Linked DNA regions of Mus musculus: regions 1 and 3 are each reported to be linked to region 2. Evidence: microRNA targets listed by miRTarBase, many of them from high-throughput screens and not tested one by one. Region 2 holds a microRNA gene; each other region holds the end of a gene's coding sequence.

Region 1 (4,578 bases), not on the chromosome of region 2:
CCACCTGCCAAAGTGACCAAGCCCAGTTCTAAAACCGGAGCCATAGGTCTAGGGACACAGTCTCAGCCACCCACTAGAACGCCGAGGTCAGGAGCAGTCTCAGCACAAAGACTTCAGTCTACATTGAATTTAAACAGTCCAGCTTCTGTGTGCTCAGGGTCCTCTGCAAAAGCTACTCAGGGATCGAAAGGTAAGAATACAGTTTCAGTTGCCAAAAAGCAACCTCAGAGTAAGGGTGTCTGCCGGAATCCGGGACCTGGCTCTTCAAAGTCTCCTGGCCGTACCCCGCTGTCTATTGTGACTGTTCCCCAATCTGCTACCAAGACAGAAACTGTCTCGAAGTCAGCCAAGACTGCCATGAAGGGCCAGTACTCAGCTAAAGGGCCTCCCAAAAGCAGCAAGCCACCAACTTCCTTCAGGGACCCACCCTCATCTGGTAAGGGGGCAGACAGCGGAGATAAAATGCCCACTGCCAGGAAGAAGGAAGAAGATGACCATTATTTTGTTATGACCGGAAATAAGAAGCTTAGGAAATAAATACACTTGTATCGTTTCAGCAAATCAGGGTGATCAATGAATGGCGAGCCACAAGGATCACCAAAGATCTTCCTATTTGTGTCTGTCCGGAGAGCTGCAGACATGAAGTCAAGATGGGATGAAGCTGGGTCAGGGAAAGGACCCATGCATTTTGTGTATCAATGGACAAATGTGTGAGTTTTGACCTGTATCATCTTGCTAATGATGTCTGCTGTTTGAGGGAAGTGTAAAAGTCCAAGAACACTACTAGAATTTTAACTATTGGTGGTATATTTTTGAACACAGGTTAACTGTGGAGGTTATCTGCTAATAGCAACTCCGATACTCTTAAACACTAGTTACTGTGCTCAGCCACAAAGCAATGGTTTGCTTGGCGCTAGTGTGTGCCTGTAATCCCAGCTCCGAAGGCTGAGGCAGGGGTACACAGTAGAAGCCAGCAAGGTTTTGAAATGTGCTGTAATAGGCACCTAATTTATTGGTCAGGAATCCTGGTCCAGCAATCCTAAGTACCAATGGCTCCTGCTGTTTACTTTGATATTATTCTGGATTAAATGGAATTCTTACTATTTAAATCTCTATAATATTTCCGTATCAGAAGGGACTATTTGGTTTTTTAATTAAACTTGGCTTTTTAATACTGTATCATTTTATAACCAATATTTTTGATAAAAAGAAAAAAAAACTCAACCAAGTAAGTTAACTTATTGAATCATAAGCTGAAATTTAGTAAGAATTAAGTTTTTTAAAAAAAAAAAATATATATATATATAATCTAGACACTTTGTATCTTATATTTTTAGATGAAGTCTGTGCAGTGTGACAGGGAAACATTTAATAGCTTTTAGCATACTAAGATATTTTAAATAGACATTTCCTATATGTACATATAAATTTTTTCATTAAAATAATGTGTTTTGATACCAGAATTAGGTTTTAATGATCTTAAAATTAAAAGGGATGGGGGGTGGCTCAATGGATAAGTCATGTCTAGTACAGGCATGGGGATTGGAGTTTGTGTCCCCATACCTACATACAAATCTGGGTGGGCTTGATGGTCTGCCTGTAGTCCCAGCACTCAGGAGGAAGAGACAGGATTTCCTGGGACAAGCTGGCTGGCGAGAGGAGCCGATGGATGAGAGGCAGCTCTTTTGAGAGACCACCCCTACCTTAGTAAAAAAGGAAGATTCCCAAAGTCAATGTCTGTTCTCTCTATGTACAGACTCATACATATATCCTGTTCACATATGCACACACACACACACACACACACACACACGCACACACACCTATGAATGCATATATACACACAGACTCACATACATGCATGCACACCACATATATTGACGCGTACAAAAGATTAAGATGGTATTAAGAGAACCTTTGTGTGATGCTATGCACACATCTCATCAGGTGACTTGTATTTCTTTTGCTAGCACACTGTCGATTTTAATTAGTCTCCAGATTATGTTCATCTTCATTAGTAAGGCCATGTTGTGCTCAGTTTTCCAGTGCCCAGCAGACAGTGTACCTTCTGTTCTGTAGGCAGATTCTCGTCAGGAATATCCAATGATTTCATGACAGCATAAACACCTTCCACCCACAGGGATACTTGTAAATGATTTATGTACAGGCTTGTCACTATTTAAAGTTTATTAATGTACTTTGGGAACTTTTAAGGGTGTTAAGTAACTATGGTATTACCAGTTATCCTAAGTTGTAGGAAGGAAAAGCAGGTCTAAGAGGTACACGCTTGTAATTCCATTACTTGGAAAGTGGAGGCAGGAGGATCAGAAATTCAAGGTCATGTTCAGCTATGCACTAGAGACACGCCTCAAAAAAAATTGTCACTTTGACTCCTCTTTTATAACTCAGATGCCCTCCCTTTAAAATCTGCTTTCCATCCTCCTCCTCTTCCTTTCTTTTCTTTGTGAGACTGAGGATCTATGGTGTCTTACATTGATAGATAAGCATTGCGACTGAGCTTCCTCCTCGGCCCCTTCAAATACGGTTTCTAACACAAACAAAATAGTTGACCCAGACCTGCCATCATTGAATGAGTGAGCATCGTGGCTGGCTGCTGGCATTCTCTAGACCTACATACAGCAAGAGAACCTTGGGTAAAGACCACTGGATCTTTACCCAAGCAGTATGCATAAAATCAAAGATCTACTCAGGATCCCTTACAACAGAAAACCACCAAAAACTTGCCAAACGTTCCGGTTCTGAGCATCACTAATGGCAATATGTACATCTTTGAAAGCACCTCTTAGCACTCAAAAGAGATGCCAGGGGCATTTCTGTAATCAGGAATATCTAACACACCTTTCAGAGAGGAAGGATTGTAGCTTTAGAGAGGCTATTCCCTCATAGAGAGGGCCGCCGAAACTATTTCTAGATCAGTAACTTCTGAGAATTAAAAGAAAAATATAAATTACACTATAGGCAGACTAAACCTATGACTCAGTACATTGTACAGTTTTATAAACATTATCTTTTGTGCTGGGTAATCAAGAATAAAGATATTCTCAGACACCTGGCACAAATTCCCGAATTAACTTTAGGATTATTTATTTAAGATAAAGATTGGGTTTTTTGTTTTTGTCTGCTGTTCAGTAGCATTTCTCCAACTGTAGTCATATAGGGTGAATTTCTTTGTGTGTGTACCTTGTCTTTCCTAAGCATAGGTTGTATGTGAATAAGTAATTCAGTTCCATGGGAACTGAGAGAACACTCAGCAACTCAGAACACTTGGTATTCTTGCAGAGAACCTGAGTTCTATTTCCAGCACTCCCGGGGTGGCTCACAAGCATCCAGAACTCTTGTTTCAGGGTATCTGATGCTCGCTTCTGGCCTCCAGAACACAGGCACCAGGCATTCATATTGCACACATACAGGCAAAACATTCATACATGCAATCAATCAATTAGTAAATATCTTTCCCTCCCAAATTAAAAAAGTTAAATTCTTTCTGATGTATTTTGGTATTTTCTAAAGGAGCTGATAAATCTTTGCCACAATTTAAAAAACAAGTATAATGCAGTTGTACTCACTTCTTTTTACTACTAGTGTGAAATTACATAAGGTCTTTTTGTGTTTAATATTTAATAAACCAAATATTAAGCATAAAATGCTGATGTACCTGGAAGACACATGTGTGGTTTCTTAAAAATAGAATGTTTTTGTTTTGGAATGCTTTGCTAATGTGTAATTATATAAAGCTGAACAGGGACGGGAAGGGATTTTTTTTTTTTTTTTTTTTTTAAGATTTATTTATTATTTTATGTAAGTACACTGTAGCTGTCTTCAGACACACCAGAAGAGGGAGTCAGATCTTGTTACGGATGGTTGTGAGCCACCATGTGGTTGCTGGGATTTGAACTCTGGACCTTCGGAAGAGCAGTCGGGTGCTCTTACCCACTGAGCCATCTCACCAGCCCATGAAGGGATTCTTTTTACACTCTGCTTCTGGGGAGGTGTTTGAAGAGAGCACCTTCCCAATGTATGGACTTTTAGTGCCCTTGGCCTGTCATCTCCACAAAGTCTCATCACGCAGATGCAGCTTGCCTGGCATTCTCTAGGTAGCCCAGGCTGGCCTTGAGCTCATAGCAATCCTCCTGCCTCAGTCTCCTGAGTACTGGGTTTGCAGGTTTCGGGTACCACATCAGCTTGATTTCATAATGGATAAAGGAATAGTTTGGAGAAAATAATTTCTTCTGCAGTCTTTTTTATTTCTGTCTAATTTAAAAATCTGTTACTTCCTTAAAAGGAGCTAATAAAGGTTTTGATGTATTCTTACATCCAAGTTTCATGCCATCTCTGTGTCAGTTTGGATTTGTATATATTCTGTTGTTTTTTAATTGTTGTTGTTGTTTCATGTCAGCAGTATTTGTATCCAACTTAACTTATATTTTCTCAAGTATTAAAATGTCAGCATAAACCCACTCTGTTTGCTTTTTTAATGTATTTTAACTGTGTTTTGATTATTTGACCCATGTTGGAAATTGCATATATGAAACTGATAAATTAAGAGTTTTAAATATT
Region 2 (4,578 bases):
ATCAGCTCATTATCTAGATTAAAATGGATATCAATTAAGTATGGTGATGTGAACTTATGGCATGCTTTATACATTAAGGGTCAGGATTGTATAGATTAAAATTAAAGCAATCCTGCCCATGTTTTCAGGTTATATCCTACCTGGAATAACAGACACAATGAAATAAAAGAATAAAAAGCAAGGACAACACTGATGTTTTTTCATTTGTGGCAGGATTCATAAGAAATTTCAGAGTATACTTAGTGCTTGAACCATAGCCAGGGGCAGTGTAACAAGCTTCAAACAGAGTATAATCAGCACAAACTGATTTGGACAATAATAAACCCCTCTCTGTTCCTATAAGACAGACTGCGACAGACAAACAGCTTCTGGGGATTTCTCAGATGACCACATCACTGGAAGTTAAAGGAGGAGACTGTGTTCTTGGCTCCAGTTTATAGGAAGGCCAATAGGAAGGAGGGGAGGATGGGATGGGGGTGTGGCCAAGGAGGACGCACTCGGGAAGCATGAGATTGCGTACTCCAAGAACCTGCAGGAAAACCTGCAATGGCTGACCTCACAGGACAGGAGAGGTGATTTTGATGAATAGATCCGATGCAATGACTTTGTTCCACTGGTGGTAGTTTGCGTGGTGAACTTTATCTCTACTTCATGTTGAGGATCTGCACCGAGCCCATTAGTGCACTATGGAGCTTCAGCTCCTGCACAGGTGGCTGTCCATCCATGACATAAGCAGCAGAGAGAGGGCAGCCTGGCACTCAGGAGTTACAGTCAGACTGACAGCTCGCTGGCATTCAGCCATTCTTCTTTTTTCTTGGATACTTTCTTTATTTACATTTCAAATGTCATCCCATTTCTCAGTTTCCCTCCCTCCCAGAAACACCCTATCACATCCTCTCTCCCCCTGCTTCTATGAGAGGGTTCCTCCAAAAGAACTCCCAGGGACTAAGCCATCAGCCATTCCTTGAAGAGTGAAATGTAAGGGTTGGTTTGGTGCTGCTAAATATCCAAATGCTAAATACTGCCCCCATGAGGAGATGCTCATGTACACCTCATGTACAGGATGTTATATAAACCTTGCCCCCCAAGTTATCACCGACTAGGCCTACAGCCTAGGTTCTGCAGAAGAGAGAGGGACAGGATTCAGGCAGGGACCACGAAGAGAGTGAGAAAGAAGGAAGTCACTGTGCTTGGATTGTGAGTGTATGGCTTACAGTCCTTTTATAGACTGACAAGGAAAACATGCCTTAAAGGGGTGTATCAAAAACATCCTAACCTTTGCTAATAGCTGTACCAGTAACTGCTCTCAGAGGCATATGGGGAGCAGGCATGGGCCAGCTAGGGTGGGGAAACATTTTTTTTAAAGATTTATTTATTTATTTATTTTATGTATTTGAGTACACTGTCCCTGTCTTCTGACATACCAGAAGAGGGCATCAGATCCCATTACAGCCACCCTGTGGTTGCTGGGAATTGAATTCAGGACCTCTGCAAGAGCATCCAGTGCTCTTAACCACTGAGCCATCTCTCCAGACCCAGAGGGTGGGAAAATTTAACATGAGGAGTGCTGGTTACATTGCTCAGTCCAAAGTTGAACAGGTTCCTGGGGCAATGGAAACCTCACAGTCATCTTATGACTCTCAACCAAAGAAGTCTTTAGCATGATGTTGAATGACGAAAAAGAACGCCAGTTCACTGAAGCAAGTAAAGAGAGCTGCAGTCTAACCTCCCGAAGTGCGTCTTACCCAAGCACCGAGACATTTAAGAGCTGCATGGAAGGCCAAGTAGCAGGCTATTTCTCCAGGCTAGTACAGGGAGGCAAATGGGGTTGCACCTCCCCTGCCATAGCTACCTGCCCTCCCCTTTCCCAGGATTAGGTTAAAATTCCTAAGTGAATACGAAGTTTATTTCTTTAGAAGTCCCCCAGTCTCACACTATCTCATGAAACCTGGAGATTGCCAGGCTTTGAACATTTTCCTTGATTGAACCAACCCTAGTCCTAACAATCTGCCTTAGAGTCCTCTGCTCGGATTATGTTGGAGGTAACTGTAATCTGCCTCACATGACACGGACCATGTCTTCTGTCATGGCCAGGCAAGTCCTTGCTAAGAGAGGGTCACATAAAGGACCATGTTCCTAAATAAGTTGCCAGGGTCAGGACCAGCCACCTCCACAAGCTCCTAAGCCAATAGTAGATGAAAAGAATATATTGCCCAGAGTGTATAAAAAGTATTTTTAGAGGTGCCAATTTGGATATTATCATGAAAATTAAATCAATATGAAGGTATGCAGTACTGAGTTTTAGACAATGGGAATTAAAGTTGAATGCTAAAAAAACTATACTTCATATATATAAAATTGAATGTTTCCCTAATTGTCTCTCCAGCATTTGCATTTAAATGATTTCATGTTGAGGCTATTCCTAACTTTAAAAATAATTATGTAATTCAATTTCACAAAAAAATGCTGAAGACTCTTAGAAACATTGTTGAAAGTATATGTTTGAAGGGACTTTTAAATCTTAAAGGCACATCAGAATTTGTGCGTGCTGCATTTTGGCATCGGGGCTGCGTTGATGGGGTCGCCTTTTGTCATTACCTTCCCCTGCAGGTTGGCTCCATTTGTGCTGACATTCCAGGCTTGCAATTCTATGTTCAATCTAGTTTTACTTCCTGTCTCACTTTGTGAAATGAATATTTATTAGAGAGTTATATAAAACTATTTTTATCTTATAAATTTTCGCTCATCTTTGTCCGGGAAGACTTCGCGGTTACACAGACTCTCCTGCCAGCCAAGCAGATGCTTAGAGCCATCTAGGCATTTTAATAAATTGTGGAATTTCAGAGTGGAAAACAAGAATACTACTTTGACATATTAGTCCTAGAAAAACAAATTTGAAAAAAAGAAAAAGAAAAGAAAAGCAGACCCCTGAAGGGGGAAGTTACATTTTAAATTACTAAATCACCTGTGTGTAAACCATCAGATTGTCCTGTATTATATTCTGAACACTGGTATTTCTGCTATGAAATGTGGAATGTTGTTCGCTGAGGTCACAGCTGTCCTTCTCCTGGGAATTCCTGTGTAAAAGTGTTAGCATGAGCATTGTCTGTATGTGCATTTGGGAAACGGAAGGAAGAGCCACGCCCAGGCTCACCTGTGTGGCTTCTCATCAGTACCTTGTCCCCAGGGAAGCACAGGTGGCTCATTTAGAAGCAGCCATACACTCAGAGAGTGGCTGCCTATACATGGGCTTTCCTGTGCTCCTCTCCTGTTGCCACGGACCCTCAAGGAAGGAGCCATGCAACTCGGCATGTGACCTCCTTTGCCGGTAGCCACCAACACAAGAATGCCCTCTGTCTCCTTAGGCACTCGCTGATGGATCTGTGACACCTCTTGTGGGGCTGAGCCCTGGAAGCCATGGCTGGGCCTAGGCAATGAAATAAATGATGTTTTACCCAGTGAAGTTAATATGTGTTCAGTGTGTGTCAAGTGAGCACTCGATGTTCTACTAACATGATGTTCTCCCAAATGATAACTGTTACATGTTGGTTTTCAACCAGTACCAACCACAAGTTCTTAATGAACAAGTATTTATATTTTTTATCTCTTCAGCATCTAATGTTCTTCTTCAATATAAATCAGAAATAGGCAATATACTTTATATGTATTTGAAGCAATATAGTCTCAGTAACCAATGAGTAAAACAAAGATGATATACCTGAATCCTCAGGTAGATAATGAGAGCAATCATGTCTGTGCATTCTGTCTATGTCTGTTTCTCTTCCTCCCTGTCTCTTTAGTTTTAAAACCTGTTACTATAGTCTACCCAACAATAATATAGAAATAACAAATATGTTGGCTTAGAGAGATAACTCCATCTATAAATTGCTCACCATGCAAGCATGAGGACTCGAGTTCAGTTCCCAGAACCCACATTCAAAGCATCCACGGCAATATGTGATTGGGAAGTGTGAGGATGCAAAGACAGGTGGGGGCTCAGGCTCAGTGGGAAGGCAGTCTGGCCCAAATGGTAGGCTATAGGGTGAATGGGAGAACGGGTCTCAAAGAGTAATGTGAAGAGTGATTAAGGAAGACTCCTTACATCTGTGTCTGGCTCCTACATGCACATGAGTCTGTACACACATGAACACGTGTGCTCACAAAACACATGAGAGAAGTTACTATGCTCACAAATACATTTCATCAATAAAAAGAAATTTGAGTGATCCCAGTGAACTATTAGATGTGTTTAGTATCAAAAGTATCATCATCAGTCAGAAATCTTAATTAAAATCGATTTTGAAGCATAATATTGAAATTTCACTTTTATATCAGAGTATTGGGTTTTTCTTTCAAATTTATCATCAAAATTAAATGTGAAAAAAAAAGCTACAATATATGGACATATTAAGCAGAAACAGTAGAAAGCCATTAGCACCATGCCACATAACTAAGTGGCTTCTATGTCATCCTGAAACTTTCAAGGACTCTGGGAATGTCAACATGGATGCTAAAAATATTCTATGCCCCTTCTTGCCACATATGTCCTTCCCTTTATTTAAAAAGATAGAAATGAAC
Region 3 (4,578 bases), not on the chromosome of region 2:
ATAAAAGTGATTTGAGTGTGAATGGAGAACTGAATTTAAATATTATTTGATTCAGCTCTCACTGGCCATAGGCAAGTGCTCCCTAGCCGTTTATAGTTAGCAGCTTCCATATTGAACAACACGGCTCTACGTCCTTAGTCTTTCAACTCTGAGGACTGTAACAACCTCATGTCATTTCTGCCTTTACTTTCTAAGGTTAATTCCCATCTCTTGTCAAGCAGTTAATATATCTGTGTTGCTGCCACAAGCCCAAGATGGCCCTCCCAGATTCAAGTTTGACCATCTCTGGTCTGCCATGAAGTTTCCAGGAAAAAGTAGAGGTGTAAATAAGACCACCTTTCCCTAATAGTTCTGAGACTACGGTTAGCCGATGAGGCACGATTTGCTGTATTCTGCTTCCCAGTAGCCATTTCTCTGCTTAGGAAAAGACCTTTCCTTTCTACCTCCTCCCCCAACCCACATGCATCCTTTCTGCAGGTTCACCCAGAACCTGTCAGCATTCCGTCGAGAGGTCAACGACTCAATGAAGAATTCCACTTATGGAGTGAATAGCAATGACATGATGAGCTGACAACTCTCGGACTCTACCTTGCAGAGCAGCGTCCCTTTGGTCTGGTCCAGAGGGTGAACAGTTGCAAGGGAGAGAGCCTGGCTGATCCCGGCTCCTTCCTCCAGGGGTATGGGGGAAATGGCAAAAGTCAACCAGCTATTTCCCCAGAAAGTACGGGGAAGTACGGGGTGTGCGTGCACTCACTGAGGGACAGGGCACTGCTGGTTCCTGGGGGACTGGGGTGGGAAGGGGTGGTGGGAGGAGACAGACGCACAGGCATCTGAGCCTCCGGCCGCTCCTGGGGTCACCGTGCAGGGAGAGCCCGGCGCCCTGCCGCAGCCTGCCTTGTATAAACATGTACATTTTTTCATAACGTTTTCAACAAGGTTTATATTGACTCAAGTTTAAAAACAAAAGTGTGACTGAAAACTTTTTACAGAGTCTAGTGCACCAATGCTGACGTGAGGGGTGATGTATGGCGAGTGAAGAAAATGTGCATTGTGGTGGCCTGAAGCTTTATTGGACAAGGATGTGTGAAAGTGCAGAGATATATTTAGTGACACAGTGTAGAGAGGCAAAAAAGGAAAAAACTCCAAATGTATATTTTTTCTTACTGCCCTTTCCCTCCCCACCCCCACTGATGCGTTCCTGATGCTGTATTAACCTTGTTATTAGGAACTCTGAGCCATGCGGGAGCACCACCCTCCCCATCCATGGATGCTGCCCTGGGCCCCCCAGCCTCCTGCAGTGACAGATAACTCCAGCTAAAGTCTCTGGTGTTCTTATCTCCATCCTTTCTCCCATTTTACTTAACCCTCATCCTCAGAAAGATGCCTCTTGCTATTAAAAGTCGGATTTATGTTTTAGGATTCTTGGTCTCTATAGGGAGACGACAGAGAATTGAGCCATTTGCTCTCTTGTTGAGCAATTTGCATGAGTCCACCAGAGGCCTAATATGTGTGGCCATAACTTTTGTCTTCCCCAGCCTTTGAGGCAGTGTGTGTGGATGTGTGTGGATATTTATGTGTGTACCCTGCACTCATGAATGTATGAACTGGAGGAAGTTACTACAGGGGAGGGCTCTCAATAACAAGGTCTACCTAGCATGAAGTATTTAACATTCTCCCTTGAAAAATATACATTTTTATAAAATAAAAACCATAATAAATGTTTTGAATATTAAAAAAGAAAAGTGAACCTACAGAGGAACATTGGATGGAGAAAACTCTTTGCCTTGTACTTTCCCACAACTGCTGCTAGTTATATACATCTCTAGTACAGCTCTTACCCATGGGACATTACCAATTAGGTTTTATTTTTATTTTCCTCAATCCTCACAAACAAGCTTATTAATTTTCCTTCTCCTCTGGCGACTGTGTGGTGAATCTTTTCTTGCGTGATCAGGTTGCGGATAGACTTGTAAGGGTGTTTGCTGCATACAGTGTAAGCATTGTGACCGCCAATAAACTTCGATGGTTTCTACTGACCTGGTTTCAGCAGTCACGTGTAGTGTGTTCAGGGATGTGTCTCACTGTCAACACATGGAGATATTTAGACAAACATGCTTTTTTTTTTTTTAAGCCAGTAGGTGCAGAAGTCCCTGTGTCTTGTAAAACTAACGCAGACTGTGTCTGCCTCAGCTCTTCTGACTGGTTCAGCTCACATACTTATAGCATAATGTTCTCCAGAGTTGTCAAAATGAAGACAGTCTACCTCTTTCCAGGTAATAAAGTGGCGACCTACATATAAGCAGTAGCTGAAGAAAGGCCCATTGGGTTAGTCCTTACACCTGCCTCTCTGATACAGGCTGGGCTTCATTTATTAGGCCTTGACAAGGTCAGTGGCAAATGTTTTCCCCTGGAATAGAATGTATAGGCCAAATGAAGCAAATAATGAAGACTAGTTTCTGTGATTTATGGCCCTGTACTGCACAGTGCTTTGATTACGAGGGAGCCCATGGCTAAGACCATTGAAAAGCAGGAACAATATAGGGCAGTTGTGGGTATCTTACCTGCAAGGGCCCAAGAGCCAATCCTGAATTCCTTCTTAGGAGTCCTAGAAAAACCATCCTGGCACATGCTCAGGAGAACCTGGGATACTAATTCTGAAGTAAATAAGACAAAGGGACTAGGAAGCTGTCTCACAAACACTAGAAAAACCTTGAAGTAACAGCTGGTCAACAAAACCCCAGTGTCCTTCCCTCTCTCCTACGGAAGAGACACTAGGGATGATAGTACCTTTGGTCAGTCACGGCACAGTGCTTAAGCTTGAGATCTTCCACGGCCCCAAGCTGTGTAAGACTCCGCTGACAAAGGTTTGCCCTGACATAGTAGTGCATGCCTTTAGCCCCAGCAATTGGGAAGCAAAGATTGGCAAATTGAAGTTTGAGGTCAGGTAGGACTACAAAGAAACCATGGATGGGGAGAGAGAGAAGGGAAGGTTTTTAGGATTTGGGAAATGAAAACAGGATTAGTTCAATATATACCTTGGCTACACAACAAAGCCATTCTGGACTACATGGGACCCCACCCCAAACACACATTACTAATTTCATAAAATTTAACCTAATACGAAATTCAGTTATTTTTCTTTTTACCTTTTTATTTTGTTATTTTTTTTATAGTCCAGTCATTATCTCCCTCCCTTTCTGCCCTCCCACAATTCCTCATCCCATTCCTCCCCCCACCCCTCTGAAAGGATGTCCCCACACACCCCTATACTCCACCAGGCCTTCCCATTCCCTGGGGCCTCAAGTATTAGGTGCATCTTCTCTCATTGAGACCAGACCAGGCAGTCCTCTCCTGTATATGTGTCAGGGGACTTGGACCAGCTAGTGTATGCTGCCTGGTTAGTGGCTCAATGTCAGATCTCACTGGGGAGGGGTTCCAGGTTTGTTGAGACTACTGGCCCTCCCATGGGCTCTTCAGACCATTGGTCAGGTGTAAGTATCTGCTTCTGTCTCAGTCAGCTGCTGGTAGAGCATCTCAGAGGGCAGCTGTGCTATATATAGACTCCTGTTATGCATGTCCTTTTGGGTCTGAGATGCCTCACTCTTGGTGATATTTTCTAGTTCCATCCATTTGCCTGCAAAACTCATGATGTCTTCGTCCTTGATAGCTGAATAGCATTCCATTGTGTAAATGAACCACATTATCTGTATTCATTCTTCCGTTGTGGGACATCTAGGTTGTTCCCAGCTTCTGGCTATCACAAATAAGGCCACCATGGTCGAGTACATGCCCAAGAGTAGTATAGCTGGGTCTTCAGGTAGATCTATTTCCAATTTTCTGAGGAACCTCCAGATTGACTTCCAGAGTGGTTGTACCATTTTGCAATCCCACCAGCAATGGAGGAGTGCTCCTCTTTCTCTACATTCTTGCCAACATGTGATGTCACCTTAGTTTTTGACCTTAGCTAATCTGGTCGGTATAAGGTGGTATCTCAGGGTCATTTTGATTTGTATTTCCCTGATCAGTAAGGACTCTGAACATTCAAGTGCTTCTCAGTCATTTGAGATTCCTCTGTTATGAATTCTCTGTTTAGTTGTATACCCCATTTTTTTCTATTGGGTTGTTTGGTTTTTTTTTGGAGGTTAGCTTCTTGAGTTCTTTATATATTTTGGATATTAGCGCTCTATCAGATGTGGGGTTAGGGATGAATTTTTTTCCAATCTGTAGGTTGCCGGAAATCCTATACCTTCCTCTTTTCTCAGATGTCATGGAAAGGTGTATGTTGTGGTTATCTGTGCTGTTCCTGGACACAAGTGTTTCATCTACACAGTGATATCTGGAATAAGCTACACTGAACCCTAAATTCCCTTACTGATGTTTATTAAATTTTATTGTGTACTATGTATTTATTAGCTTAACCCAAATAAAGCTAATATTTTCCTACTACAGTGCAAACCAAAGATGGGATTTTACTCAGAGTTGAAATGTTAGATTTTTATATTCTGTTTTTGGTTTTATTTTGCTGGTTTTTCAAGACTAAGACTTCTCTGTGTGACAGCTCTGACTGTCCTGGAACTA

What was found. The annotated mature microRNA mmu-miR-3106-5p reads UGGCUCAUUUAGAAGCAGCCA and lies in region 2 at 3,199-3,219, shown strand. An mRNA with a match to its seed (bases 2 to 7 or 8) in the 3' UTR can be bound and repressed. Matches are read on the target gene's strand: a 7mer-m8 pairs with bases 2 to 8, a 7mer-A1 pairs with bases 2 to 7 and ends in A, and an 8mer does both.
Region 1: the mRNA of Gas2l3 is a reported target of mmu-miR-3106-5p. Seed matches in the 3' UTR shown: 7mer-A1 at 3,886-3,892 and 7mer-A1 at 3,956-3,962.
Region 3: the mRNA of Xpo7 is a reported target of mmu-miR-3106-5p. Seed matches in the 3' UTR shown: 7mer-A1 at 1,232-1,238 and 7mer-A1 at 1,452-1,458.

Annotation. Positions count from the first base shown.
Region 1 is chr10:89,409,162-89,413,739 of GRCm38, reverse strand. It overlaps Gas2l3 (growth arrest-specific 2 like 3), which reads left to right. Exons shown (of 11, transcript NM_001033331.2): 11 at 1-4,578. The coding sequence ends at 537. Among named protein-coding and RNA genes, the nearest start is that of Gas2l3, 33 kb to the left of the region's middle.
Region 2 is chr8:16,167,446-16,172,023 of GRCm38, reverse strand. Mir3106 (microRNA 3106) reads left to right here and starts at 3,186; the gene lies at 3,186-3,267. The region is part of intron 23 of Csmd1 (CUB and Sushi multiple domains 1); the gene reads left to right.
Region 3 is chr14:70,661,994-70,666,571 of GRCm38, reverse strand. It overlaps Xpo7 (exportin 7), which reads left to right. Exons shown (of 28, transcript NM_001359888.1): 28 at 478-4,446. The coding sequence ends at 571. Among named protein-coding and RNA genes, the nearest start is that of Npm2, 11 kb to the right of the region's middle.